Linked DNA regions of Schizosaccharomyces pombe. Changing the gene in region 3 together with the main gene of any one other region gives a genetic interaction. Each region holds a gene or a part of one and is shown on either strand. Other genes may lie near its edges. The genes, in order: ura1, ure2, ura4 and ura2.

Region 1 (10,623 bases), on a different chromosome or scaffold from region 3:
ATGTTTATATAGCAAATCTCACGAGCCGAATAGGTTCATCTAATAAATGTCCGAGGAGATAAACCGGAGTTGGTTCGATGAGGAAATTAATGTGAATAAAATATGGTTCCACGTTTCGATATATATTAACGTCGAAAGCAAATACCGTAGAATGCCGGACTGCGTTGTTTTTTTTAAAAATTCATAAACTCCAATGCCAAAATGTTCTATAGAATCGGCAAACTAAAATTTAAGATCGAATTGAACATAAAAACGAAGCGTATTTATATACTGATTGCAGGTCCTTTGCTTGAATCCTATCAATAAATTGTATGATGCTATCTCGTCAAAAAAGTAATGGCTTTATAATAGTGTGGTTATCATTTTGTGAAAACATTACGCCATTAACTGCTTATTTATTTACGCTCCGATTTTTGCAGATTCCTATCCTAACGATCTTTATGATGCTTGTTATTAAATATATTTAGTCATCACCAGCAATTGCTTACTTGATAGTGGAGACGTTAAGGCGAGATAAGGTAGGTGTGTATTTGTAAGACTAAGCATATCGTTTTCCTTATGTAATTAATATTTCGTACTGGCAGCATATAAATTTGTTACCATTTTGAAGGCTGACTAACCACAAAACATTGGTTTTTGCAAGCTATGAATGCTTTGATTACCTAATTCGTTCAATAGAAAAATTTGTACTTCTTAATAGCTTGGATTTTTTATATCGTTCAATGTTATTGTGGGGAGTATCGAAAATCGCACACCAATGTTTCCGTATTAGTTTGAAAGAACTACGTTAACTAGATTCGGTTTTCGTAAATTAGTTTTAAAAAATATCATTAAATGGAAGTTTTTAAAATATCAATAGAGATTTGTTGTTTCAATATTTGGTATTAAGCATAATAAGTTTAACTGCACTCCAGTTGATGGGTACGACGAAACCTATCGAGTAACTTTCGATAAAGTATACACGTTTGTCACGCGTCGAGAGCGGTATTTTCAATTATTCTTATCCGACTGAATTTAATTAACTCAACTCGCTACTTCTTATTTTGAGTTGAGCGCACATAAGCTATTTTTTGAGCTACTAATTTAATAGATTGCTATAACGAAATTCAGCGGTGTCCTTGTGCATTTCATTTATCACGATTGTTTGAGGTTCGGTATTCGTGTAATTTTTAATGCCATGTATATTATACATGGACGACACTAGTTGTCTCATTGACTTGCCAACATCTCTGCAATTTAATAAACATATTTTGCCCACTCGAACGAAGCCTGTCGTGAAGCCATATTTACTCCCCGAAAAATCAACTTCGGATTATGAAAACAGTGGCAAAGGCACTGTAGGGCAAGTACTGCAAAGCCTTCAGCGAGTTCGTCGTGCTTTACAGTTGCGCAGTTTGGATGACAATCAATCAACCGATAAATCACACCATGTTCAATTTCAAGATATCGTATACAGGTCAAATACTAGTGCATCAGAAATCCATTTTCAAGCTGAAAATGCTCCTTTAGTGCAATGGTACTCAGACATTTTCAAAGTACTAGTTAAAGCACCGGTTATACAGTTTGAGGATCAGTGCTTGCAATGGTTGAAAATGTTGAATACTATTCCACCGTCATATTCATTTATAACTATAAAGTCTAAAGATACAGTTGAACTTGGATTGGAAGAGATTTATCAACAATGTGTCCAAAATGATGGAGCGTCCGCTATAAAATTAAAGCTGAAGGGATCAAAGGTTATTACTGAATCGTCTGAAACTAATTGTAGGGATTCAATTTACTACATCCCTGCTCGTTCCTCTTTTATTATGGGTGACGTGGAGAAAACTGCGCAAATCCTTTTAGAAGCAATTGATGGCCATCTAGAAAAACCCAAATGCATAATTATAGACCCTCCATGGCCGAATAAATCTGTAGCTAGGAGCTCTGTCTATAAGGTGAACAGGAACCTTGGATATTTAAAAGCATTACCAATTCAGGAATCGTTAAGCAAAACCGGCGTCGTGGCAGTTTGGTGCACAAATAAGGAAAAGTATGTAAATTTTGTTAAAAAAGTGCTTTTTAAAAAATGGAATTTAACGCTTGTCTCTACATGGACATGGCTTAAAATAACGGCATTTGGCGAACCATTATTTGATGTTTATTCAAACATGCGCAAACCTTGGGAACAGCTTTTGATTGGAGTTACTTCAGAATATACATCTGTATATAGTGATAAAATCCCTCCAACGTTTACAATAATTGGTATTCCAGATTATCATTCCAGGAAACCATCATTAAAACCTTTCATTTCACGTTGGTTTAATTGTTCGGCAAATGAATCGCTTCCTGTTTTAGAAATTTTTGGCCGTAGTCTCACACCTAATTGGATTACATGGGGGAGGGAACCTTTGTTGTTTATGCATGAATTATACTGGTCATCAGACAATTGATGGAAAATGCTACATTGTTCGTATTGTGGTAAATTTTTGACCATGGTTTAAATGTTGTTTTATTTTTTCTTCCATTCTCTGTTTAAGATATCTCAGATCACGAATTACTACTGAAAGACGTAGAATAAATCAATACGTTTTAACGTTACCTGATGGTTTATGAGTAAACTACTTTATGCTATAAGAGCTCAAACTCATTCACTGTAGTATAACTTTATTAGGAAAAGCTCACTACTAATGTTCCTAAAATACTAAACTACCAAAGATACAATTTTTTTATAAAAAACCACTTTCGACTTTTTATTGCTAAAAGCTCAAACGGCGTGATGAGAAAAAAACTATTGCGAAGGTTTTACTTTTAAATTTTCTTAATATACCATAGGTCGACATCGTTTTGTTTTTCTACTGATATTCTTATGATGAGCTGTTGATATGTTTACTGGCTTTACCAAGCTTTCATTGACTAATGTATTAAGCACAAATCGGCTGCTATCCCTTCATTACCGATATCCTAAGTACTGTGTTATGTAGATACCGATGCTGAAAAATTACGTAAACCAAAATAACAATATTTAATCATAGATGGCGTTGTGTTTTTAAAACAGGTTGCGTCATACATGAAACTTTTATATTTGCTCAGAGAAAAAAAGAAAATATTCTCCTTTACAAGTTAGTTGGTAAGCAATATAAATCTTTAATTTTGTATCAAGTAGACCGCTCATAAAATGCCTTGGTTCGAAGACCGAAAAGCGGAAGTGAAATGTCATACCCTAAACATACACCGTAGCACAGTGTACCGCACTACTGGTTAATCCACGACAAGCAAAAAATTTTCCAACAACTCTTTCGGATTTGCCAGTTCTCGTCCTATAGGATTGTTAGAAACTGCCTAACACAGAAACTGAATTCTAAAAATTAGAATAGATTTATTTAATTTTTTTTATTTATCTGTAAAAATTTTAGTGTACATTGTGCTTTGACGAAAGCGTAAGTATTTTTTTTTCTGCTCAGGTTTTAAATTCTTTCTTGAGACCAACCACTCCTTAGAAGCAATATCTGGGAATCGCTAGTCTTAAGCCTCAAATCTGTGGAATTGTTGATATAAGCGATGTCCGGATTGCTACCTTCATTGTCTTCATCATTTCCACTCGTCCAGAGTGAAGCTCTGGGGATGCCAAGGACTCATGGTCCTAAACCATCTGAAAATGATCCTAAAGAGCCCACCTGCTCTCCATCTCCTGCCTTCTACTCTGTGAATGGCGAGATGAAAGATTATAAGCTAATGGCCTTGGAATTGGAAGATAAAAGTGTTTTACAAGGTTATTCATTCGGAGCTGATCACTCTGTCTCCGGTGAATTAGTTTTTCAGACTGGTATGGTCGGTTATCCTGAGTCTTTGACCGACCCTTCTTATCGTGGTCAGATTTTGGTCTTTACATTTCCCACAGTGGGTAATTATGGTGTGCCCGATCGTCGTATTCTAGACGAGATATCTGGCTTACCCAAGTATTTCGAATCCAATCAAATTCATGTTGCTGCTATTATTATTTCATCTTATTCTCAAAATTATTCTCATTTTCTTGCTCATTCTTCTTTAGGAGAATGGCTTAAGGAACAGGGCATTCCTGGTATTTTTGGTATTGATACCCGTGCTCTTACTAAAAAAATTCGCGACCAAGGTTCTATGTTAGGTCGTTTACTTATTCAAAAAGACGAATCCCCCATCAATCCTTCTTCAATTACTGGTCTCGGAAAAGACTGGAGTACTGCTTTTGAAGATATACCATGGAAAAATCCTAATACTGAAAATTTAACGTCTCAAGTTTCCATTAAAGAACCCAAACTTTATGAACCCCATCCTACTACAGCTATCAAAAAAGCAGATGGAAAAATCATCCGTATCCTTGTTATTGATGTTGGTATGAAATATAACCAAATTCGTTGTTTTTTGAATCGTGGTGTTGAATTATTGGTTGTTCCTTGGGATTATGATTTTACCAAAGAGACTTATGATGGTCTATTTATTAGCAATGGACCTGGTGATCCTTCCCTCATGGACTTGGTTGTTGATCGGGTAAAACGGGTGCTTGAGTCAAAGACTGTCCCCGTTTTCGGTATTTGTTTTGGACATCAAATTATGGCTCGAGCTGCCGGCGCCAGTACCACCAAAATGAAATTTGGTAACCGTGGCCACAATATCCCTTGCACTTGCATGATCTCGGGTAGATGTTACATTACTTCCCAAAATCATGGTTATGCGGTTGATGCGTCTAGTTTATCAAATGGCTGGAAAGAACTTTTTGTCAATGCTAACGATGGTTCAAATGAAGGTATCTATAATACTGAGTATCCATTTTTCTCTGTGCAATTTCACCCAGAGTCTACTCCTGGTCCCCGCGATACTGAATTTCTCTTTGATGTATTCATTGACGTTGTCAAGCGTTCAGCTGATGCAAAGTCTTTGCAGCCATTCAAGCTTCCTGGAGGAACAATTGAAGAAAACAGATCCCGTCATCCACTTGTGGATGCTAAGCGTGTTCTGATTTTGGGTAGTGGAGGATTGAGTATTGGTCAAGCTGGTGAGTTTGATTATTCTGGTAGTCAAGCTATTAAGGCTCTTCGTGAAGAAGGAATTTACACCATTTTGATTAATCCCAACATTGCCACTATTCAGACATCTAAGGGTCTTGCTGATAAAGTGTACTTCTTACCTGTTAATGCTGACTTTGTTCGTAAGGTGATCAAACAAGAGCGCCCCGATTCGATATATGTTACCTTTGGTGGTCAAACAGCCCTGAATGTTGGTATTGAGCTGAAAGATGAGTTCGAACAACTCGGCGTTAAAGTTTTAGGTACGCCTATTGATACCATTATTACCACTGAGGACCGTGAACTTTTTGCTCGTGCAATGGATGAAATTAACGAGAAATGTGCAAAATCAGCTAGTGCTTCATCTATTGAAGAAGCTATAAAAGTATCGAAGGATATTTCTTTTCCAGTTATTGTCCGTGCTGCTTATGCGCTTGGTGGACTTGGTTCAGGTTTTGCTGATAACGAGGCGGAACTCATTGATTTATGTACGCTTGCTTTTGCTACCAGCCCTCAAGTCTTGATTGAACGCAGTATGAAGGGATGGAAAGAAATTGAGTACGAAGTTGTTCGCGATGCTTTTGATAACTGCATTACCGTCTGTAACATGGAAAACTTTGATCCTCTCGGTATTCACACTGGTGACTCTATTGTTGTTGCTCCATCTCAAACTTTAACCGATGAAGATTACAACATGCTTCGTACGACAGCTGTTAATGTTATTCGTCACCTCGGTGTGGTGGGTGAATGCAATATTCAGTATGCTTTGAACCCTTTTACAAAAGAGTATTGCATCATTGAAGTTAATGCTCGTTTGTCTCGTTCATCTGCTTTAGCGTCAAAGGCTACCGGTTATCCTCTAGCTTTCACAGCAGCAAAACTAGGTCTTAACATTCCACTTAACGAAGTCAAAAACTCAGTGACAAAGGTTACGTGCGCATGCTTTGAACCAAGTCTTGATTATGTTGTCGTGAAGATTCCCCGTTGGGACTTGAAGAAGTTTACTCGCGTTAGCACTCAGCTGAGCTCAGCAATGAAGTCAGTTGGTGAAGTGATGAGTATTGGACGTACATTTGAGGAAGCAATCCAAAAGGCCATCAGGGCTATCGATTATAGCAATACTGGTTTCAACGTTAAGGATGCTTTAATGTCTATAGATACGGAATTGCAAACACCTTCGGACCAACGTCTGTTTGCTATTGCCAACGCTATGGCTTCTGGTTATTCAGTGGACCGTATTTGGGAGCTTACTCGTATCGATAAGTGGTTTCTTGAAAAGCTTATGGGATTAATTCGTACATCCCAATTGATTTCCAAGCATGATATATCTAGTCTTCCTATTTCTCTTCTAAAGACTGCCAAGCAATTAGGATTTGCGGACGTCCAAATTGCTGCTTTTATGAATTCTACTGAATTAGCCGTTAGACGTATCCGTACTGAAGCTGGTATCAGACCATTTGTAAAACAAATTGATACAGTGGCTGCGGAGTTCCCAGCTTTCACCAACTACCTTTATACCACTTATAATGCTGTAGAGCATGACATCCATTTCAATGATAAGGGTGTGATGGTTCTTGGCTCAGGTGTATATCGAATTGGCTCATCAGTTGAGTTTGACTGGTGCGCAGTTCGCGCAGTTCGTACGCTTCGTGATCGGGGAGTTAAAACTATTATGGTTAATTATAACCCAGAAACTGTTTCTACTGATTATGATGAAGCCGATAGATTGTATTTCGAAAATATCGGTCTTGAAACTGTCTTGGATATTTACGAGCAAGAATCATCTTCTGGTATCATTATAGCTATGGGTGGTCAAACCGCTAATAACATAGCCTTGCCATTACATCGTGAAAATGTTAAAATTCTCGGTACTTCTCCTGAAATGATTGATGGCGCCGAGAATAGATTTAAATTCTCTAGAATGCTGGATGACATAGGTGTTGATCAGCCTAAGTGGAAGGAATTAACTAGTTTCGACGAGGCCGATAAATTTTGCGATACAGTTGGTTATCCTGTGTTAGTTCGTCCTTCTTATGTTCTTTCTGGTGCCGCAATGAATACAGTCTATTCTCAGTCAGACCTGCATAGCTATTTGCAACAAGCTGTTGCAATTAACAAAGATCATCCTGTTGTTATTTCTAAATATATTGAAAATGCTAAGGAAATCGAATTAGATGCTGTTGCTCGTGAAGGAAAGATGGTTATGCACGTCATTTCCGAACATGTAGAAAACGCTGGTGTGCACTCTGGTGACGCTACTTTGGTTTTACCACCTCAAGATTTGGCTCCAACGACTATAGAAAGAATTGTTGACGCCGCTGCTAAGATTGGAGAAGCTTTGAATATTACTGGTCCTTATAACATTCAATTTATTGCGAAGGACAACGAAATTAAAGTAATTGAATGCAATGTTCGTGCATCGCGTTCATTCCCTTTTGTTTCTAAGGTTATAGGTGTTGATATGATTTCAATGGCGACAGATGTCATTATGGGTAATCCTATTCAACCCTACCCCGATGTTGATCTTCCTCGCGATTACGTTGCTGTCAAAGTACCTCAATTCAGTTTCAGCAGACTGTCCGGTGCTGACCCCGTCCTTGGTGTCGAAATGGCGTCTACTGGTGAAGTTGCTTGTTTTGGTCACAATAAATTTGAAGCCTATCTTAAAGCTATGATTTCCACCGGCTTTAGACTCCCGAAAAAGAATATTCTTATATCTATTGGTTCATATAAAGAAAAGGCGGAGCTTTTACCTTACGTCAAGAAGTTGTATGAAAACAATTACAACATTTTCGCAACAGCCGGTACCTCAGACTACTTTATGGAAAGTGGTGTTCCTTGCAAGTACCTTGCAGATCTTCCTGCTGAAGAAGCAAATAATGAGTATTCACTTTCCGCTCATTTAGCCAACAACATGATTGACATGTATATCAATTTGCCCTCCAACAATCGTTATCGTCGTCCTGCTAATTATATTAGCAGTGGTTATAAAAGTCGTCGTCTTGCCATTGATTATTCAGTCCCTTTGGTTACAAATGTCAAATGTGCAAAGCTTATGATTGAGGCAATTTGCAGAAACTTGGATTTCAGCTTGAGTACAGTAGATTTCCAGAGCAGTTTCCAAACTGCTAATCTACCAGGTTTGATTAACATATCTGCTTTCCTTCCTGAATTTACTTCTGAAGCCGTTTCTGACTATACAAAAGAATGTATTGCATCTGGTTTTACTATGGCTCGATTTTTACCATTTAGTACGTCTTCTACTTTAGCAGACAAGGATTCGTTGTCTGCTGTTAAAAAGTTAGCTTTAGACCATGCTCATTGCGATTACAACTTTTCAGTCATTGCCTCCTCAACTAATGAAGTTACTATCTCTGAACTCACATCTGAATCTGGCTGTTTGTTTTTCCATTTTGAGAAAGACGATTCTGGTATCGATCATGTTACTGCAGTTGCCTCTCATTTTAACGTATGGCCTGATACGCAGACTGTGATGACAGATGCCAAATCGACAACTTTAGCTTCGTTATTGTTATTGGCAAGTCTTCATAACCGTAGGATTCATATTACAAATGTATCTTCTAAGGACGATTTGAATTTGATTGTACTTGCTAAGCAAAGAAGTCTTCCTGTCACATTTGATGTTTCAGTTTATAGTCTTTTCTTGAACCAAAATGATTATCCCGGAGCGACATTTTTACCTACTGCTGATGATCAGGTTGAGATATGGAATAAGCTCTCATACATTGATTGTTTTTCTATTGGTAGTATTCCTTCTCGTCTTGCTAAGTTCGTGGGTAATACGGCTTTTACTGGCTTTGGAGTTCGCGAGGCAATTCCACTTTTGTTAACAGCTGTTAATGAAGGTAGACTTACTTTAAAGGATGTTGTTGATCGCTTCTATTCGAACCCTAAAGCCATTTTCCGTTTGCATGATCAAGACGATTCTGGCGTTCAATTGGAAGTTGATCGTTCTGTTAGCTGGTCTTCCAAAGACTGGACCCCTTTCAATGGCAAGAAACTTTATGGTAGCATCCAATCTGTTCAGTTTGACGGTCATGATGTATTCTTTGATGGTGAACTGAATTTCGAACATACTTATGGTCGTGACTATTCTTCGGCTAGTTTGGCTGACAAATCTAAGGCAACTAGAAAGGTTAGTGCGTTGATGAGTCCTGGTCTTCCCCATGCTGCCCCTTCTCTTGCCGAAGCATTCGGTCAAGCACCAGAGAACAAAGCGCATCCTGATATTAGCTTGAACATGACTCCTAATTTCAAGCCTTCTCATGAACTGGTACAATTGATCAACTCTTCGCCCTTCTATCGCAAGCATATCATTTCGGTGCACCAAGTTACTCGTTCTGATTTGCATGTACTATTTGCTATTGCTCATCAAATGAGAATCATAGTTGAAAGACAAGGTGTGATTGACTTGTGCTATGGAAAACTTCTTTGTACTATGTTCTTTGAACCATCAACTCGTACTTCATCGTCTTTTGATGCTGCAATGCAACGTTTAGGAGGAAAAGTAGTCGCTGTTACAGCTAGTGCTTCTAGTGTCAATAAAGGTGAGAGCTTGGCTGATACCATTCGTACACTTGGATGTTATGGTGATGCTATTGTCTTGCGCCATCCTTCAATTGAAAGCGCACGCATTGCTGCTAACTTTTCTCCCGTTCCTATCATCAATGGTGGTAATGGCTCGAAGGAGCATCCCACACAAGCTTTCTTGGATCTTTATACCATTCGTGAAGAGTTAGGTAGTGTCAATGGACTTACAATTACGTTTATTGGTGATCTTAAATACGGACGTACCGTTCATTCATTAGCTCGTTTGCTTGCGTTTTGGCATGTCGAATTGCATCTTGTATCACCTGAACAATTGGCACTTCCTGACGACGTGAAAGACGATATTCGTGCGAATGGATTGAATTTCATTGAGCACCGTGAGTTGACTAAAGAAGTTGTTGCACAATCTGATGTACTTTACTGTACCAGAGTACAGAAAGAACGTTTTGCTAGTGTTGATGAATATGAGAAATTAAAGGATTCTTTTATCGTTGACAACAGTGTTCTAGCCTCTGCCAAATCCCACTGTATCGTTATGCATCCTTTGCCTCGTAATCGTGAAATCAGTGAAGAGGTTGATTTTGATCAAAGACGTGCTGCTTACTTCCGACAAATGCGTTATGGTCTCTATATTCGTATGGCTTTACTCGCTTGTGTTATGGGTGCTACTGAAGTAGCAAATTAAAAATGGCTTTCTTACGTTTGTTATCTTATTGGTAATTGGATTTTTTATATTTTGGTGTGTTGATTTATGTTTTAAAAGTTTTGGTTTTTATTCTTAAGTTCTAGAATAGAATGAAAGGTTGATATACTTATAATTTATTTTCCACTGTATAATTAAAGTCGTGTAATTATTTTTCAGCACGTTTTTTATTTAAACACTTAAGATACTCAGTGATGTGCTGAATTAGGTATCACGGCTATTTTATTTATTTATTTATTTTAGCAGCCGTACTTATAAAAGTACGTACGTTTTTATGTTACTTATCTAATTTATTTTAATTTATCTATTTTTATTTATTTATATGTTTCC
Region 2 (8,163 bases), on a different chromosome or scaffold from region 3:
TCAGTAAAGCTTGAGACTTCATCTCGGGTGCTAACCTCGATGGGAGGGAAGAAATGATCGACAAGCTCATTCATGTAAACATAACTACTTCGGTGACCGCTTCGCTGCAACAGTTCAATATGGACTTCGCCAGCAGAATTAATGGTAAAAATCCTAGTTGGTGGAACTCTGACATGGTTATAAGATATTGCGTCTGTAATACGATTGCCAAAGCCGGCGTAAAATGGTGTTCGAGGAACAGGTAAGGCGAAAATATTACAAAGATCACGCAAACAAGCCATTTTAAATACTTCTGGCTTCCTTAAAATTACTTCTCTATGAAGAGCAGCCATAGTGCGATCAGGTGATAAAATAACAGGACCATCGGGTAGAGAGTATCCGTTCTGTTCAATATTCCGGAGATAATGTCGAGTAGAATCGGCTTGGCCTACCGAACGACTAGTTAAATACATAATTTTGTAGCCGTTGTTAGTGATATCGGTATACAATTTGGCAACTCCAGCATGAGTCCAATCCTTGCCGATCAAGGTAAACATATGCCCTAGAGCATCAGATTTGGTAATTGTTCCATCAATGTCCGATATAACGACAGGATCGTTGTGTTTCCAAAAAAAAAGATTAGCAGTGCAAATGGCCTTACCCCCGTTGACTCCAAAGGAAAGCTCATTTTTACCGGGCTTCAAATTTAATGAACGAAGCTGATCAGAGGTTAAACGAAGGGTTTTAGCATATTGAGGATATGACTCGGAAACTGGGCTCAAAGACTGTTCAGATAAAGAGTGTCGACGGCTTAAATCAGAGTCCTCATCCATTAAAGCCGAATCGGACTTTGGAGACGCAGGAGTGCGAGATGGACTTGCAGGAGGACTGTGTCCATAGACCTCCGCAAACTTTTTGGCATCTTCAGAAGCGTGAAACCACAGATTACCTTCTTCATCTTCACGCAGAAGCTTTTCAATCATGGGAAATTCATCCTTGAATGTTTCCCGTGCCAACTCTGCAATGTTTATATTCGCAGCAGAAGATTTATAACCTGTCATGTCAAGCATCACATCACCATTATCCCCAACACGTGTAGGAAGTTCTTTCCCAGAAAGCCTTTTCCCCAATTCCTTTGCCTTTTGTAACAATCGTAAGTCTGCTAGCGTTGTTGCAGGCATCGACGGAGTTCTATCACTTCCAGCCATTTCCAAACAACTCGAATGTCGAAGGTGCTTAAAGCCGGTTGGAGGTGTTTGATCGGCATCGGATTTCGAACGGCGAATTAAATCTCGAGTAAGAGGGAACTCGTAACCGTCCTCCATCAAATAGGTATTCGATTGATCTTTCTCATGATCCTGAGATACTTTATCGAGCTCGAGATCTTGAGGCTCAGTGACATTCTAAAGCAAGACTGTTAGTAATTTTCGTGATTGAGATAAACTAAAAGCCGAAAGTAGTTGTGCAGAATTCTGATACCGTATTCATTAAAATATTGCACATAACTGTTTTCCACCGGACAAGTCAGCCCCAGTTTACTTTTGTACATACAATGGATGGTGTTTGCTTTGGCGAAGTGGTAGGCGACACAATGGGAGATGTTTGAAGTTCTCGTGGAACTGCATTCTCAGTAGCAAATACAAAGAACGCTTCACCTCCATCCCCAAGTTTCATATTAAACCCAGTCAATTGACCATTGACCGAAAATTCAACCTTTTTGTCTGAGGGCAAAAGCAAGCTAAACTTTCCAAAGCGAACATGAAAAGGTGAACATGCTAATGTTTTATCCTCTTGCTCAACCACAATCACGTCAATGGCTCCAGAGAGAGTCGACTATTTACGAACACTGTTAGCATATTTGTTCAATTGTTTAACCCATCATTTCTAATTATTGAGAACTTACTGGATTAATTGCATTCCACGTCTTCGTAACAGAGTCAAACGCTCGTCCTACATATTGCATCGTGCAGCAGCTACGAACAGAGGTAAATGGGATGACTAGCATACCATTATGAGCAAAAGCGTGGGAGGAAGGGCGAGGCAACATCTATGGTCCCTGCGGTCTGTTACGTTATTTGACCTTACAGTCCCATACTATAACAAAAGTAAGCAATGTAAACAAACCACCGAACTTCATAACACTGAACTTGGAAAAAGCGACATTTTTCTTTTCTTTTATATAGATATATAATTTGTTTAGAAAAAATAGAGATTTTTTTATGAAATTTGGATTTTAAGGACCATTCTTGTTTTTGCAGGGTCCCACGCATAAGTCTCAAAGTAAAGATATTAGGAGAACTTTTGCATCCCTTTTTATGTTCCTTTGATTACTGAAGGGCCATTATTTGAAAATACACACGAATACTTTTGATTGTGGCTTCCTTTGCACGTTTTAATAATATTGTGGCACATCATTAACCATCACATTTACAATATCTCTTGTCATGGAAGAAAAGATTTCACAGGCGATTGACGATCCGAATGTATTTTGCTTTCAGGAATTATGGATTGAGTGCCAAGAGGTCCAGAAATCACAGCCTATAGACAGCGCCGTTCTAAGGACACTCGAGATATTCTGCAGAGGAGATATCAGAGATGCCTCATCTGAATGGAATGAATTGCGTTTCAAAAAACTTCGACTTCTTACACTTATCGATTTGGCTAATAGACATGTTGGAAGTTCCGTCTCATTTGAAACCATATTGGTTCATCTACAGTTAGATCGGCTTCCTCCCTCTGATCCTACCTTCACGGTCGAATATTATATCATGCAGGCCATGATGAATCAAATTTTAGTGGGAAAAATTAATGCAAAAACTCAGACTTTACATGTATCTTGGGCACTTGAAAGATTTCTCGATTCCAAAAGGATAGATGAAATGAAGTATTCCCTTGACCGCTTCATCGAAAGGTGCTCGAATATCCTTTTTCAATTAGATGCAGGAACGCCCAGTGTATCAAAGTCTTTTAAACGTGCTAGTCGCATGTCAAGTAGCGACGGAATCGATTACATGGTGTTTGATAAACGCCCTCGTCCGGACGATACTGACTTTGATCTATAATAGCATACAAAAACTTGTTTCCTCTCCTAAAAGCCATCTTATCAATATAAAGGTTGTTTCGAGGATATATGGACGGAACAATATAGTGCAGATGTTAATTACAAAAGTTGAGGATTTGACAAAATTAAATTTCGTATAGACGTTTTCTTTTATCTTACACCTGCCCTATTTTTTCCTTTCATGGTTCATCGAGATGTAAATTCAAAAGTTGGTGGTCTCGTTACTATGTTTTTTTTGTCTCGCATATACATTATGAGCGTTTTATGGTAGATAATGATTTTTTTAATAGATCTAATTAATATTTTAAAAATGGGTTTTGGTCATATAATTTTCATGCGATGATATAATTTGCTGCGTGTAAACACAACATACTATACTCAAATATAGACTGGAATAATAAGTATACTAATTATCGAGAAATGGTCGACATCAGTTCGTGCACAAAAAATAAACAATACTTATTTCCCTTTCCTTTTACTTGAATAAGTGCTCAAGCGAACTGCTACGTGCCAACTTTTGTAAACTTCATAGTTATGCTTTTTTTGACACCAATTCAACTTCATGCTTAGCTTTTCGTTACATTACCTTAGTTTCTTCTTGTTAGTTGCGTACAATCGGCGCACCCTGCCTGTTAGACTAAGATAAGATATATGGTGGTTAGATTAAATGCATCCTTCAGCAACTTACCGATAAACGTCTCAACACGAACTAATTTACAAATCCTTAGTCGGAAAGTGTAAAATTATATCGATAAAGTGAAAGGAAGCGTATCGGAGATATCACTCTAGCGTTGTTCCAACTATGCAACCCAGAGAGCTACACAAATTAACGCTTCACCAGCTGGGATCTTTAGCCCAAAAAAGGCTGTGTAGAGGGGTAAAGCTTAACAAGTTAGAGGCTACTTCACTTATTGCATCTCAAATTCAAGAATATGTTCGCGACGGTAATCATTCCGTAGCAGATTTGATGAGTCTTGGTAAAGATATGCTGGGTAAACGCCATGTTCAGCCCAATGTCGTTCATTTGTTACATGAAATTATGATTGAAGCTACTTTCCCTGATGGAACCTATCTAATTACCATTCATGATCCCATTTGCACTACAGATGGTAATCTCGAACATGCTTTATATGGAAGCTTCCTGCCCACGCCAAGCCAAGAACTGTTCCCTCTGGAAGAGGAAAAGTTATATGCTCCGGAAAATAGCCCTGGTTTTGTTGAAGTCTTGGAGGGCGAGATTGAACTATTGCCTAATTTACCTCGTACTCCCATCGAGGTACGAAACATGGGTGACAGGCCAATTCAAGTTGGATCACACTATCATTTTATTGAAACTAATGAAAAACTATGCTTCGATCGCTCAAAGGCTTATGGAAAGCGCTTGGACATTCCGTCAGGTACTGCTATTCGATTTGAACCTGGCGTAATGAAAATTGTCAATTTAATCCCTATCGGTGGTGCAAAACTAATTCAAGGAGGTAATTCACTTTCGAAGGGTGTCTTCGATGATTCTAGGACTCGGGAAATTGTTGACAATTTGATGAAACAGGGATTCATGCATCAACCTGAATCTCCGTTGAATATGCCATTACAATCTGCACGCCCTTTTGTTGTTCCTCGTAAATTATACGCTGTAATGTATGGTCCAACAACGAATGATAAAATTCGTCTGGGAGATACAAATTTGATTGTGCGCGTGGAAAAGGACTTTACTGAATATGGAAATGAATCTGTTTTCGGCGGCGGAAAGGTTATACGTGATGGTACGGGACAGTCTAGCTCAAAATCAATGGACGAATGCTTGGACACTGTAATTACAAATGCTGTAATCATTGATCATACCGGTATCTACAAGGCTGACATTGGCATCAAAAACGGATATATCGTAGGTATAGGTAAAGCAGGAAACCCGGATACAATGGATAACATTGGAGAAAACATGGTCATTGGATCTTCTACAGATGTTATATCAGCTGAGAATAAAATTGTTACTTATGGTGGTATGGACAGCCACGTTCATTTCATCTGTCCTCAACAAATTGAAGAGGCATTGGCTTCCGGTATAACTACTATGTATGGTGGAGGAACTGGCCCTAGTACGGGAACTAATGCTACTACCTGCACCCCAAATAAAGACTTAATCCGTTCCATGCTTCGTTCTACTGATTCTTATCCCATGAACATTGGTCTCACCGGAAAAGGAAATGATAGCGGTTCAAGTTCTTTGAAGGAGCAAATAGAAGCAGGCTGCAGTGGACTTAAGCTTCACGAAGATTGGGGATCTACTCCCGCAGCAATTGACAGTTGTTTGTCTGTTTGTGATGAGTATGACGTTCAGTGCCTAATTCATACCGACACCCTCAATGAATCCTCTTTTGTAGAAGGTACATTTAAAGCTTTTAAAAATAGGACCATTCACACGTATCACGTTGAAGGAGCCGGTGGTGGGCATGCCCCCGATATTATTTCTTTAGTCCAAAATCCAAATATTCTTCCCTCTAGCACCAATCCCACACGACCATTTACTACAAATACGCTTGATGAGGAACTGGACATGTTAATGGTATGCCATCATCTTTCTAGGAATGTTCCTGAAGACGTTGCATTTGCAGAATCCCGTATTCGTGCTGAAACAATTGCTGCTGAAGATATTTTACAGGATTTGGGAGCTATTAGTATGATTAGTTCAGACTCTCAAGCCATGGGTCGTTGTGGTGAAGTAATTTCAAGAACTTGGAAAACCGCCCATAAAAATAAGCTACAACGAGGAGCACTTCCTGAGGACGAGGGTTCAGGTGTTGATAATTTCCGTGTGAAACGTTATGTATCCAAATACACTATAAACCCTGCAATTACTCATGGAATTTCTCATATTGTTGGTTCTGTGGAGATAGGCAAGTTTGCTGACCTTGTCTTATGGGACTTTGCTGACTTTGGGGCAAGACCCAGTATGGTGCTGAAAGGAGGAATGATTGCATTGGCCTCTATGGGTGATCCAAATGGATCGATTCCAACGGTTTCTCCCCTCATGTCCTGGCAAATGTTTGGTGCACATGACCCCGAGAGGAGCATTGCATTTGTTTCCAAGGCCTCTATAACATCCGGTGTTATTGAAAGCTATGGACTTCATAAGAGAGTTGAAGCCGTAAAATCTACGAGAAACATTGGGAAGAAAGACATGGTTTACAATTCATATATGCCAAAAATGACTGTTGATCCAGAAGCTTACACAGTTACTGCAGATGGTAAAGTTATGGAATGTGAGCCTGTAGACAAACTTCCACTTTCCCAGTCTTATTTTATCTTTTAATTATTTAGATTTTGATTAAGGAAGATAATGCGAGTTTAATTAATATGAAATTTTGTTTGTAAATTTCTTTACAGTTGTTTGAGGCCGAGAAATTCCATATCAAATTTTAAAAGACCAATTACTATTTAAGTTTATAAATATAATATACTCCCGCTTATGAGTTGGTGGATCAACCTTGTTTGCTTACTACCCACGTTTTTGCTTTAAGGTTATATAATTCTTTTCAAACACTAACAAATATTTGTCACAAATTCATATACTATAAACATTCAGAAAAGTTGTATTTGAGCTAGTGTACAGTCGTATTCGTTAAGTCAGAGTGAACTTCGTCGCTTACCAAAGCGGTAAACAACACCTACAATCAACGTTCGATGAGCCTAAGTGACTAAGCTGTGAAGAGATTAAGACTTTCATGAAAGCGTTATTAATAATTTCTTTTAATCATGAAAAAGTTCTTGTCATTCAAGCCTGCTGAAGACTTCCTTCGATCTCTTAAAAAATCATCACAATGGTTTCTGCTGATCATTATTGTCGAGGTTACCATTACATTATCTTTTGAAGGATATGTTTTTCATCATTTTCGTTTAATCACAGTCGAAAAAATTGATGTCTTTATAAATGCTATGGTGCCGTCTACATTTGCACTGTTTTGTATGGCATGTCCCTATTTACTTTATACGGCTGTAGATGCATTATTAAACAAGGATGTAATACAGGTAAGTTAATTGTCTCCAAAAAAAGCTAAAATGGCATTGTTTGTCTTTTGTCGATTCATATGGTTGACGCACTTGAGATCTAAACCAATTCAAGCTAACCGAATTATACGTTTAGATGTCAGCACTTCTTATCTTTCATGTAAGCCTTTTTTGCCTATCTGTTGTCCAATATTTTCAAATATTTTCAAAAGACCCCAGAGCGATTTTCCTCTCCGCTTTATACTTAATAGATCCCATTCGCCTCGTCACATCATTTAACTATCACGAAAGAATAGTTGTTAATTCTCATATGTTGTTATTTTATCTGAAGCCATTTGTAATCGCTCTTCCGGTGCTAATCGGCGTTACTTGTATCTTGCTGAGCTTCTTGGTTTACAAAATGAACAAAGCATTTGGATGGATTATGTATCAGCAGCATGGTCCTGATCTTCGAATGAGAAGAAGGTATCTCGTATACAAAATATTCATGTCCTTAATTAAGTCGGACTATTATTTTTGCCTAACGGCTACTGTTCAATATGCTATCTTCTTTTCTACCATAAGTCGTGTTGGGCTAGCACTAACCATTCTTGTCTTCCCCTGTACAATCGCAACTTTGATGACCTGTAGGTATGCTGTTTACAGAGAAAATCGTGCATTGTTAGGGATTGTACAGTTTATGTTTATGTGTGGACTTGCATATTTTATTTACAACTGTGCTAGGCTATACCTAGGCGTCGACTATGGGGATATTGCTGTTGCAAATATTTGTATGTTGGTGTTTTCAATAGTCACCATAATTTATTTGTTCACAACCATAGTCGTAGGGTTTTATTGCATTTCCAACTTCGGTTATGGTCTTAGGGAATATTTACGCTATATCCATCAAAAGCAAAAAGTCAATGCGGCTCCTGCTGTTCCTAAAGTTCGCATGCCATTGGACGACTGAGAGCTCTCTTTCTTTTGGCATTCTAAAAATGTGTTTTCTTGTTGTTTATCAATGTTCCTCATCTCTCTGTCCTAATCATCGTTTGTTTTCTTACGCCTGTTGAATTTACTGTTTTCCATTTCGTGTTTCCTTGCATTCCTTGGTAGGTGAATATTTTGTGCTCCGATCT
Region 3 (6,177 bases):
TGCTGAATAGACACGTGGAATGTGTTTGTATACGTACTTATCAATTACCAGTCAGATGGTAGAAGCGGTAAAATCGTGATATTTGAGTATTAGCTATAAAATAAATTTTTCACAACGTTTCAATATATTTTAATACTCTTTTTAAAATTTTTTAGAGAGATTTTGACGAGCAATTGATGCGTGAGACGCGTTTGTCAATTTTTCCACCTTTCTCGCTCTATTCATAGCACTGGCTAATTGTGTCGCAATACCACGGAAAATTGATTTGACGAACACAAGTGTGGTCTTTGTGTTAACATTTCTAATTCGTAAATGAATTCGAGGACTCAAAAATTTGCGGTTCGTTATACCACGTCGGGGTTTGCGCCATTTATCTGTTCATAGATACCGCAAAGCAAATCGTGAGCAATAAATTTTGAAAAGGTATCTACAGTTCCGAGAGGTGCAGGAAGTGATGAATCGAATTTGATGAAAATTTCTCACCTATTTTAGAGGGGAAACTACAGTGACTTTCTTGAAAGCAATTAAACAACCTTGAAAATGAATCAAACTTTTTTCTTAACGTTACTGCTGATATTGATGTGAAAATTAAACAAGAAAAACATCATCACTTCGTTAAAACCTTAAAAATTCAAAATTTCAAAGGAATAATTAACACCCGGGCATGCATACTACCCGATAACGTAATCTTCTCTATTGCCATTTTCTTTTTCTTTTTAATAAAAATGGCTGTCTAGTAAACACTTTGTCTCAGCGTTTCTTGCCTTTTTACAACAGTCAAATACCGAATATCGCACGAACCATTGAAAACGCAGCTGTGCGCGGTCTCAGTGCCGGTTGGGATTTTCCACCACTCGCAGCCCACAAAGCTCTTCATACAAAGATGAAGAACAGTAAAGAAAAAAAATCTTCCATCCCGACAAATTTGGTGATTTGACGTCACCAAAAGATTCGTTTTTGTAGAAAGGTATATATATTAACGACATGTGCCCATTTGTCTTGATAATACTATCTTTAAACTTGAACGACATTTTTTGAATACGCCGTTACTCCTAAAGATTTTATACCACTTGCTTTAACTTTTACACAAATTTATTACTACTATTAAAAATGGTTGCTGTCGGATCTACTTTGCCTAAAGTTACTCTTTGGGAAAACAAGCCCGAAGAGGTTGTTGAATTCCCTTCTCAAGGCAAATTCATCATTGTCGGTGTTCCCGGCGCTTTCACTCCTCCTTGTTCTTCTCAAGTTCCTGGCTATATTGCAAATGAGAAGCAATTTGCTGCCAAGGGCATCAGCGGAATCTATGTCGTTGCCGTAAATGACGTTTTCGTCACCAAGGCTTGGAAGAAGTCTTTCGACGGTGGTGAGCAAAGTGGTGTTCACTTTGTCGCCGACTGGAACGGAGAGTTTACCAAGGCCTTTGATGCTGGCTTCGACGCTAGCGGTCTTTTGGGCCCTCTTCGCTCCAAGCGTTATGCCGCTGTTGTCGAGAATGGCAAGGTTGTCAAGGTTTTCATTGAGAACGAGGTCACCGATGTTGATATTTCCTCCGCTGACAAGGTCCTTAGCTCTCTTTAAATCTGATGAACTGTTGTACTAATTGTTTTGATGGGAATGTTTTTTTCCTTTAATGAACGAAACTTAGAATCAAAAAGATAAGCTCCTTATTTAAGGGCGTTTGAAATGATGGAGATAAAGCACTCCATATTTGAGTTTTTTTTGTCATTGTGATGATATATGTTTAGATTTATGAAATTTTATACACAATTATCTTAACAACTCATTGTTTGAGTACTAGTACAATTCTTTATAAGAAAGTAGATATGCTTAAAAAATTAATGTCAAGTAAAACGTTGAATCGATTACAATAAGTTTTCGTAACACGATTGAAAATCGGTAGAAGTTGAAATGGATATTCTAAGTGGTGGTATCAAAATAATGACTAGAAAGATGTAAGCACACCTTCAATGTATCATAATCAATGTCAGATGAATTTGGGTAATGAAAAACGTTGGCCACAGTTGGGGGCGTCTTCCTCTAGATGCTCGTCTTCTACAACCGTTCTTTACCTCAACCTTTAAATTTTCAAAATCTCCTTTTTAATAACAGTTTTCATTTTTGGGTTCTTTTTACTCATTTGTATTTCATCTTCGATGAAAATAGCTAATGTCTTAACTTTATCGTTTGCTGCAATTATTGCTGCTTCTTCCCTGGCGGTTGTAGTTAGTCCTATCACAGACAATTCCAGGGAGACAGCTTCATCCTCCATTTCTCAAAGTCCTCCTAGTCAATGGTCAAAAAAACAGTTAATTGAGTATTGTAAAAAAAATTCACTTAAAACTAGCGGATCTCATGAAGAATTGGTTATCCGTGTGCAAAATCATCTTCGTACCGCCTCTAAAAAAGTTGATGCCAGACCGTAATGACAAAACAGCTTGTATAGATTTTAATATGTTTTCGATGCTTACATAATGAGTGAGTGTCATTATTGAGGAATGCCATGTCAGATTTGACACAACTCAGAACTTATTAACTTTTTATGATTGGAACTTTTGTTTTGCCCAAGGAATTTTTAATGGAAGAAGTTGTTTTATAAATGATATTGAATTTATATCCACTCTTTTTAGCGCATTTGCATCTCTACTTTAGGTTCTTCTTTGACTAGATTCTAGGATGCGTATTGGATATACTGGTCTTTGAATCATTGTCGAAAAAAAAATTCATGGTTGTACCCATGAGCAAACTGCTTTTGTGGTTATCCATGTGCTTCTTTTGTTCAGCATCTATCTTCTTAATCGCATGGAAGATTTGATTTAAACCAAAAGAAATATTGTTAAACTTTGACAGAAGCTTTAAATTTTGATTCCATACATTAAATGGATAAAACTCCTGAAGCTTAGCTACAAATCCCACTGGCTATATGTATGCATTTGTGTTAAAAAAGTTTGTATAGATTATTTAATCTACTCAGCATTCTTTCTCTAAATAGGAATTTGTTACTTAATGGAGAAAAAAATGTTTCGATTTACCTAGTGTATTTGTTTGTATACTCACGTTTAATTTCAAACATCCATTCTATCTTGTGTAATTTTTGGCATGGTGAAAAAGATAATCAGCCTTATAATCTTTACAAAAGTAAGAAATTCTGTAAATAAGCCTTAATGCCCTTGCTTTAAATTAAAATGGTTCTTTTTCATGATAATGTTTGCACTTTGTGAATATATTTTAGATAGTTCTGTGAGGTATAATTAAGATGTTTTAGAGACTTATACAATTTTGTCTTTATAAATTCTTAATTGATTTTACCATCCCAGTTTAACTATGCTTCGTCGGCATCTCTGCACATGTCGTGTTTTCTTACCGTATTGTCCTACCAAGAACCTCTTTTTTGCTTGGATCGAAATTAAAGGTTTAAAAGCAAAGTTATGGATGCTAGAGTATTTCAAAGCTATTCAGCTAGAGCTGAGGGGATGAAAAATCCCATTGCCAAGGAATTGTTGGCTTTGATGGAAGAAAAGCAAAGCAACTTGTCAGTCGCGGTCGATTTGACGAAGAAATCCGAAATCTTAGAATTGGTAGATAAAATTGGACCCTATGTCTGTGTTATCAAGACACATATTGACGTTGTCGAGGATTTCGACCAGGATATGGTAGAAAAACTGGTGGCCTTAGGTAAAAAGCATCGTTTTCTTATCTTTGAGGATCGCAAATTCGCAGACATTGGAAATACCGTCAAGCTACAATATGCATCTGGTGTGTACAAAATTGCTTCTTGGGCTCATATCACAAATTGCCATACAGTGCCAGGCGAGGGTATTATACAAGGCCTCAAAGAAGTTGGTTTACCTTTGGGACGTGGTCTCTTGCTTTTGGCTGAAATGTCTTCCAAAGGCTCTTTGGCTACTGGTTCCTACACAGAGAAAACCTTAGAATGGTTTGAGAAGCATACCGATTTTTGCTTTGGCTTTATAGCTGGTCGTCGATTTCCTAACCTTCAAAGCGACTACATAACTATGTCCCCTGGTATCGGCTTGGATGTTAAAGGAGACGGGCTGGGACAGCAATATCGTACTCCTGAAGAAGTGATTGTAAACTGCGGTAGCGATATCATCATTGTTGGTCGTGGAGTCTATGGAGCTGGTCGTAATCCTGTTGTCGAAGCCAAGAGATATAGAGAAGCTGGTTGGAAGGCATATCAGCAAAGACTTTCTCAGCATTAAAAAAAGACTAATGTAAAATTTTTTTGGTTGGTTATTGAAAAAGTCGATGCCTTGTTTGCGTTTGTTTTCCTAGGCGTTTTATGTCAGAAGGCATTTAGAATTAGTATACAAGTACTCTTTGGTAAAATTTTATGTAGCGACTAAAATATTAACTATTATAGATAAACACCTTGGGAATAAAAAGTAATTTGCTATAGTAATTTATTAAACATGCTCCTACAACATTACCACAATCTTTTCTCTTGGATTGACATTGAATAAGAAAAGAGTGAATTTTTTTAGACTTGTAATGATAACTATGTACAAAGCCAATGAAAGATGTATGTAGATGAATGTAAAATACCATGTAGACAAACAAGATAAAACTTGGTTATAAACATTGGTGTTGGAACAGAATAAATTAGATGTCAAAAAGTTTCGTCAATATCACAAGCTTTATTATTCAAAACTAGTATACTTTTTCTCGGAGTATAATACACAATATCGGTGCAAATAGGTTTTAAAATTGCTCCAATCACATGTTCTTAAGAAAAAAACGTCAAAAGAAATCTAAGTATTCCCAAAATAATTCCTCCTGACATGAGAAGAATAAAAAACACTAAGATGCATTGTCAGTATGAAACACAAGCCAAAGTTGCTAACAATAGGATCAATTCTTACTTACTGGCAATGTTACGAGGAATCTTGGTAGGAGGATGTTTGGCAACATAACGTTCTTTTGAATTTGTTTTTACACGACGAGTAATGTTCTTCTGAAACTGTGTGTTTGCACGACGCTGAGAGGGAGTTTGAACCGTCTAAAAGACATAGTTAGGATCCATGATGCACAGATTTCTAAAGATAAAACTACTTACAGGCATGTTGGTTTATTAAAAAAGAAAAACAGGAATGATAAGAGGGAAAGAATACGTGTACAGAGCAAGTGTGGAAAGATATGCTGAAGACGTTTGTATGAACAATGCCAAGCTGTAAAGCTAGACTTTCAAAGTACACACTAATACGTTATACTATATACCAAACAAAAGGGTACGAACTTACAGTGTTTACCAATGTCAGCAATACTACACTACGCTATGATACACTACGTTGTGTATCACTATATGTCACATGTTCTAATTATATATCGTACCATGTATGATACGATATGGAGATTAATCTTAATGATAATCTATTAAGATCTATATTATCTGAATACTATAAATAGAGCTACTGCTGAACCTCGTTCCTCAGTTCAGTTATGAGCTATATTAGTGATAGGTAACATTATAACCCAGTTAATACAATACCTATACTCAGTTGCTACTTATACAACCCGTGTATTGTAATATAATAGATCACAAGGAAAACTCACCGCAGTTCTACGTATCCTTAAATCAGATACCAAACTGCGTAGCTTACAACCAAAAAACCAAACAGTTTCGATAAAAAAAATAGTGATAAGATGCATTTCCATTATAATCCTCTATTTAGTAAACATGTGAATTAATATTTATAACTGTCGAGAAGAGAAATATTCAGTGATCGATAAGCAAAAATGAATATTAGTTATAAAAGGTAATAGGAAAAGGATGGTAAAATATACTGTGCTGACTAATATTGGACACTATCTTAGTTTGCAGAGTAATGGTGATTGGGGTAATTTGATATCTGGCAACTTCTTATTATAACATATTCGTCTTTTGTAAGTGAAATTCCTAATGACAGCGGCAAGATTATGGTGATTTTATTTGTAAAAATGTATCAGTATGAACAGACAAGCCATCTTAACATACTTAAGGGAAACCTGAAACTAACTGGAATTATCTATCGCTGGTATAGAGAAGGGCAAAATAAAAAACCGAGATTGTAAAAATTTTTTTAGATAAATGAAAATTTCCACTGTTAGCCCGTATTTCTCAAAATAAATCTCATATTGGAATAACAAAATTTAAGTACACTGGAGTAAATTTTTTTT
Region 4 (6,474 bases), on a different chromosome or scaffold from region 3:
CATGAGATTTGTATCTCAGTTTCGTATCTTCAAGTTTGAATACTTTTATGTCTATCTTTGCTTTTAAGTTTGAGAAGGGTAGACATGTTGTGTGGAGTTTGCTTGATGTTTACGGGCTTGCATTTATCTGCATACAACAATCGAATTAGCTGTAAAGTGAACCTGTCTCCTTTGATTCATTCCCGTTAATTTTGCACTTACTTTATTACCTACATGATGGCTGTGTTTGTTTTGTTTGCTTTTTTTTTGTTTTTTAATTTTTTGTTTTGTCATTTTGGGATTCTGGATTTTTAATGGTTTTTATTGTGTATTAAGTTATTTTTGTACCAAATATCCTCTTGCTGTTATTATTATACCTTTTAAGTTAATAAATATGTATGGCAGTGTTATTTACCATATATTTGCTAAGTTATTTCACAACGTAGTTTCGATAGTAATTGTAGAGTACTGTAAGATCGTTGGTTAGTTCCCATTGGGTAAGTTGACTATATAACGTTAGATTCATTACCAATTTGCCTAGTCATTTGCGCATTTTACGAGACAAACACAGATCACTCGTATATAAGTCACCAGATATTTTATTAATCTACTTAATTCAATCCAGATGATAAGCCAGTATTAAGTATGAAAAGTTGATGATGCATATGAAGAAAGTGAATGCTCGATACACTAAGACCATAAGTTGTTTATCCCTCTGCCTCTTCCACACTATTGCTTTTGTGCTTTGGTGTAAAGGTGAATCGCTCAGGAGTAGGACCTAGGAAGAACTCACTCAATTTAACCCAGTCCGTAACTTTATTACTGGCCAAGAGAGTTTCCATCTCATCTCTCGCGGTATATAGAGGCGGTCTATCATTTAATCTGGGCCTTTGAACTTCGTACAAAGCTATAGGTGTATAACGATGGAAAAAGCTCATAAACTCCAAGAAAAATCTCCTAGTCGTATTGACTCCTTGAGAGTCAGAACCCCAATACTCTAAACCATTATTACAGTATTGTTCCAACATTTCGAGTCGTTGAGTTGATGACTTATCAATAAACTGACGAGCTTCAATTTCTTCAAAAATCCATGGCTTAACGAGTGCACCTCGGGCAATCATCACAGTATCAACACCCTTGTTAACACCATCATACCAATCCTGCCATGAATAACAGTCTCCATTTCCAATCAGCGAAAGAGGTTGGGTACGCAAGGAGTCCTCAGGAAGTTCATCTATTCTCTCATTCATACTTTTTACTTTAGAAGCAATTTCACCAATATAATCCCAATTTGCGTTTTTACTATATCGCTGTTGGCGAGATCTTCCATGTAATGTAGCAGCTGAAGTGTTTGTTTCGTTGAAAATTCTACCAATTAAATTTTTGACAACTGGGTGGTCGTCTTTGTTTCCCATACGAAGTTTTACGGTGACAGGAATTTGGCCAGATACCGCATCCATACCTTGGAGATTACGAAGTAACCTGCCAGGATTCTCGAGAAGAGAAGAACCGGCGCCTTGACGAAATACCAAATCTATAGGGCAACCGCAATTTAAATCGAGAAAATCAACGCCATCACATTGTTCAGCTATTACTTGTGCAGTTTTAGTGGCCTGCCAAAGTTTTCCGGTAGCTAGTTGGACCCCTAATATACCACGACGACCACCTCGCATCATTTCACGCTCATAGTTTAGCCCACGAACAAGAGCCCACTCAGGTTGATGACCTTGCATAAGTGGATAACACATCGCCATTTCGGAGTAAAACGTATCAGCACCCAGAGAGCCACAAAGACGACGAAAAGGTGGATTTCCAACGGTGGTAAGAGGAGCTAGAATCTTTCTGTCTCGCCAGTCAATGAGATTTTTTTCTTGAGGCCGTAAAGTAGGTAAAGCGATGTTTGACCGAGCTTGTGAAGAGATTTCTTTTAAATCGACATTGACCGAGACGGTTTGATTTTTTAACACCCCAGTTTCTTCCAGTGAAACAGATTCTGTCTCTTTTCCTTCGGAAATAGCACTAGTGGCATCTCTATTTTCCTCAGGAATATTGGATACTTTTGAAGAAGGGTCGGGCTTTTCTTCACCTAAAACTGCGGATATAATACTTTCAGCCTTTGATAGATCTAACTGTTTTGTTCTTAGCTTTCTCTGTACCTCTTTTCCAACAGTATTTACGGTAAAAAGCGTAAACTGCCCATCGGGTTTTTTTATAAGCTCGTACTTTCCGTCTGCATTGATAACAACATGGCCCGCTAGCCAGCGACATTTGAAACCAGCTGGGCATACTCCATACCGCTCGAATATAGGGCATTTGTCTCCAATGTCAGGTGCCTTGGTAGCAAGGTAAGCCTCCACATCGTGTGGGAATTTGCAGTTTTCTTTATATGGACACTCATTCCCAATAGATATAGCTGGACAAAGAGCGTTGTTCTCTTTTACGTGAATTTTTTCTCTCCGTTTATTTTGACCCCTCTCTTTACGCTTTCGTTTTTTATTTCCATCTTGTTTCACCAAAAATCTAAGGTATAGTTAGTAATTGACTATTGAAAGCGAGGTTCAAGCATACTCTTCCCGAATAGGAACCGCTCCAGTCTCCAATTCTGCCATTAAGTACCCAAAAATCCGATTTCCCTTGAATTTAGTAGTTTGCTTTATGCAAACTGCATATTTTCTCTAGATTCTGTGCGCGTCTGTGAAAATAAGATACGACGTAGCAGTGCAATATTCAAAATTAACGGTTTACATGATAGATTCGAAAAGCAATCATATTGCCTAATAGATAAAAAAAAACTCTAAAACTGCATAGTAATATTAACGCTATATGCTTTTAGGTACACAGTTATGTTTTGTAAAACGTAACAATGGCTGTAACTGTCTATTGAAATTAGAAATGTATAAATCTTAAAGACGTTTAGAATGCACACTTTTGAGATGCTGCTATTCATTGAGTTGTATATTCTTCAGATGCCAAGATATTACTAAGTTAAATTTAAACTGCTTTGTACTGATGACCATAATTCTTCATATTATGTACCTGTATATTTACACATAAACAGGAAATGCTAGTAGTTACACGTTTCGGATTTCTTTTATACTAAGGTAGATCTAATAATGGAGCTTCAATGATTAAGCAAGTAGCTCTATGCTTCCGAAGAGTCAGGACGGTGGTCTAATAATTAAGCTGTTGGTGAATTCTTATGTTTAGAATTAGGCATCTGAACTTTAATAAAAAGAATTAAGAAATAATATTTGGTTTAACTCCGATCAATTAAATCTTTGAAATTAGTTGGAGAATTATCGGTATAGTAAATTTTTTTGAAGTAATTATATTACCCTCACTAATTTATATTGAAAGAAACATACTAATTTTAAGTAGTATTTTTTTACCAATTGTTAAGATTGTTTATTCTTGGTTTAATTTAGCACTAAGTATAAAGTGCACCTTTCTAGTTACTCAACTTGACAATACCCACTACCTATACAAGATGAGTTTGAAAATACCTGGTTTGGCTGATATGCATGTTCATCTAAGGCAAGATAATATGTTAAAAGCTGTAGTTCCAACGGTCGCAGAGGGTGGAGTCTCTGTTGCGTATGTAATGGTATGTAATAAGTATTGTGCTATTCAAAAAATTTATTTGAAGGTTACAAAGGTTTAACTTTTTAACGCGTATAACAGCCTAATTTAATCCCCCCAATTACTACCGTTGATGCCTGTTTGCAATATAAAAAAGAAATTGAGCAGCTTGACTCCAAGACCACCTATTTAATGAGTCTTTATCTCTCACCGGAAACTACACCTGAGGTTATTTACGAAGCTGCAAAAAAGGGAATTCGAGGAGTTAAATCATATCCGAAAGGAGCTACTACCAATTCTGAAAGTGGTGTTGAAAGCTACGAACCCTTTTATCCTACCTTTGCTGCAATGCAAGAAACAGGTATGATTCTGAACATTCACGGAGAAGTTCCCCCCTCTAAGGATAACACCGTTTTTACGGCTGAGCCCAAGTTTCTTCCTACTTTACTAGACCTTCACCAAAGATTTCCAAAACTCAAGATTGTGCTTGAACATTGCACCACTGCCGACGCTGTTGAGGCAGTAAAAGCATGCGGTGAAAGTGTTGCGGGTACTATAACTGCCCATCATCTTTATCTCACACAAAAAGATTGGCAGGATGATCCTTATTGTTTCTGCAAGCCGGTAGCCAAAACCGAACGAGACCGACGTGCTCTTATTGAAGCTGCTACCAGTAAAAATCCCAAGTTTTTCTTTGGGAGTGATTCTGCACCTCATCCTAGGTCTTCTAAACTGAAGACGCCACCGGCAGCTGGTGTTTTTACCCAACCTTTCGCTGCTTCGTACTTAGCTGAAGTGTTTGATAAAGAGGGTCGTTTAGATGCTTTGAAGGATTTTGCATGTATTTTTGGTAGGAAATTTTATTGTATTCCTTTAGACTTCAAAGAGTCTAATATCGTCTTAAAAAAGGAGTCGTTTCGCGTACCTGAAAGTGTTGCCAATGATTTGGTTCCTTTTCATCCAAACGAAGTTCTTCAATGGCACTGTTCATGGGAGTAATTCAGTACATGTTGATTATGTGTTTTTTTTTCTATCTATTTTTTTGAACTTGTCGGCTTTTATGTTTTGGATTTACGAATTTTTAAATAACATTTGAAGTTAATTGGGTTAATCATTATGCGTCGGCGAATGCAAACATTGCGTGTCATCTGGCAAGAGTCTTTTCAGAATTCCAAAATTTTCGTAAAGTTTTTCATCCAGATAGAGAACTGGTGAATGAGCAGAAACTTGTTTTCATTATCTCAAATTCGGATTATTCATTGAAGTTTACTAAAATACTTTATAGTTATTTATAATTAATATAGAAAAAGAAAATTATACGTATAAGAACCTACGTACATGACTGTAAAGACAACAGTTACTTCTTGAAGTTGCATCTTGACTACTAGATATCCTAGCTCCTTAATCATGATTAATTAAACTTACAGTATCCCGTCGATGAAATTATCATCGCCATCTTGATCCATTAATTAATTATTATCTAACCTTCTTAATCATTTCAATAGACACTCTGAAGTATGGTTGATAGTTACTCAGATTTCATTTATACAATATTAGGAAAAAGTGTGGACCGATGAATGCATAAAATCGTTAGACAAGGTTTGATTAACACCATCTCTTTTAATTTGATTTTATATTTTATTTCATTATCTTATATTTTGTAACTTGGGTTTCGCCGGCCTTCAGCCTCAAGACTGCCGACTGAGGGTCGAACTTCACCCAGCAAGAACCAACTACACCAAAAAAAAATGTCGGAGACTAGATTGTTTGTTGGCCGTATTCCTCCTCAAGGTTTGTAACTAAATAATGTAAATAGTATTTTAACAAAAATTTAGCGACTCGCGAGGATATGATGGATTTTTTTAAAGGTTACGGTCAAATCCTTGATTGCAAGCTGATGAATGGATTTGGCTTTGTTGAGGTAAATAAAACCATTAGCCTTCTTTTTGTAATCCCTATGTGACTAACTTGATGTAGGTTGAAGACGCTCGCGATGCTCGTGATATCGTAAATGGTACGTTCATACCATCTTAAAACTTTTGCTAACAGTTTAGACTTTCGTATGCTTCAAAGGTTTAATATTCGACTTTATTTACTAATCTTATAAAAAAGAGGGCAAAGAGTTTATGGGCAGCCGGTAAGTCAATACATTATGAATTTAGATTAAAATATGCTAATGTTCGAAGTATTGTTGTAGAACCTGCTCGCGGTGAAAGAAGAAGAAGAGAGAACTTTAGAGAAAGTGCTGCTTCTAAGTACGTTGTTACGTTTCCATTAATATGTGATTAGTGGGCGATTTGGCATTGCACGCGATTGCTGGTTCTAACGATTTTGTTCACTTCACATGTGAATCAGCTCTGAGTAGTGACTATATACGGTGTTATCGCTTGCAAAATCGCATTGTCCTATAAAAATTACGGCAATATTTTTATACTAACGTATCAGATACCCCCGTCCCCGTCGCACCGGTTTCCGTTTGATTGTGGAAAATCTCTCAGAAGATGTCAGTTGGCAGGTAAGACAATTTTATACATTTAATGACCTTTGCGTCAATGCATGATTTTTTTCATATATCTATATTTCAGTGTTAACACTTTTCATAGGACCTGAAGGATGTAATGCGTAAAGCTGGTGAACCCACTTTCACAGATGCTCACCGTGAAAACCCTGGTGCTGGGTAAGTTTCTACTTTGATCATTTTTTCACCTAACTTTAATGCAGTGTTGTTGAATTTTCTACTGAAGAGGATATGAGAAACGCTTTGACGAGCCTTAATGGTGAAGTCATTAAAGGCCAAGCAGTTACTTTACGCGAAGACCCTGTAAGCATCTAATCTTTTTTAAAGATCCTTGCGTAAATTTTCTAACGATTAGCAGGATGCCGCTAATGAGCCCCTTCCCGAAGTACCCTCCCGCT

The links.
Region 1: of ura4 (region 3) and ura1, a mutation in one rescues a mutant of the other (synthetic rescue), as found in Schizosaccharomyces pombe (one study listed by BioGRID).
Region 2: of ura4 (region 3) and ure2, a mutation in one rescues a mutant of the other (synthetic rescue), as found in Schizosaccharomyces pombe (one study listed by BioGRID).
Region 4: of ura4 (region 3) and ura2, a mutation in one rescues a mutant of the other (synthetic rescue), as found in Schizosaccharomyces pombe (one study listed by BioGRID).

The regions. Positions count from the first base shown.
Region 1 is NC_003424.3:738,952-749,574, reverse strand, and holds ura1 (bifunctional carbamoyl-phosphate synthase/aspartate carbamoyltransferase Ura1), read left to right. Parts: upstream 1-3,460; 5' UTR 3,461-3,540; coding exon 3,541-10,275; 3' UTR 10,276-10,408; downstream 10,409-10,623. Other genes in the region: ime4 (mRNA (2'-O-methyladenosine-N(6)-)-methyltransferase), read left to right, coding at 1,173-2,432. UniProt on the Schizosaccharomyces pombe protein: Multifunctional protein that encodes the first 2 enzymatic activities of the de novo pyrimidine pathway: carbamoylphosphate synthetase (CPSase; EC 6.3.5.5) and aspartate transcarbamylase (ATCase; EC 2.1.3.2).
Region 2 is NC_003424.3:4,984,925-4,993,087, reverse strand, and holds ure2 (nickel-dependent urease Ure2), read left to right. Parts: upstream 1-3,718; 5' UTR 3,719-3,842; coding exon 3,843-6,350; 3' UTR 6,351-6,547; downstream 6,548-8,163. Other genes in the region: lipin, phosphatidate phosphatase Ned1, read right to left, coding at 1-1,382, 1,531-1,812, 1,883-1,942; csn71 (COP9/signalosome complex subunit 7a), read left to right, coding at 2,424-3,041; SPOM_SPAC1952.10C (uncharacterized protein), read left to right, coding at 6,794-7,066, 7,182-7,994.
Region 3 is NC_003421.2:113,827-120,003, reverse strand, and holds ura4 (orotidine 5'-phosphate decarboxylase Ura4), read left to right. Parts: upstream 1-3,378; 5' UTR 3,379-3,428; coding exon 3,429-4,223; 3' UTR 4,224-4,415; downstream 4,416-6,177. Other genes in the region: thioredoxin-related chaperone Pmp20, read left to right, coding at 1,111-1,581; protein new25, read left to right, coding at 2,157-2,426; protein tam14, read right to left, coding at 4,748-4,821, 4,888-5,020, 5,078-5,083.
Region 4 is NC_003424.3:4,425,798-4,432,271, reverse strand, and holds ura2 (dihydroorotase Ura2), read left to right. Parts: upstream 1-3,445; 5' UTR 3,446-3,466; coding exon 3,467-3,583; intron 3,584-3,660; coding exon 3,661-4,557; 3' UTR 4,558-4,969; downstream 4,970-6,474. Other genes in the region: tRNA dihydrouridine synthase Dus3, read right to left, coding at 687-2,499, 2,548-2,588; srp2 (guard protein for 5'-capping of pre-mRNAs Srp2/Npl3), read left to right, coding at 5,307-5,349, 5,394-5,479, 5,536-5,572, 5,613-5,618, 5,671-5,695, 5,745-5,813, 6,004-6,073, 6,162-6,235 and 2 more.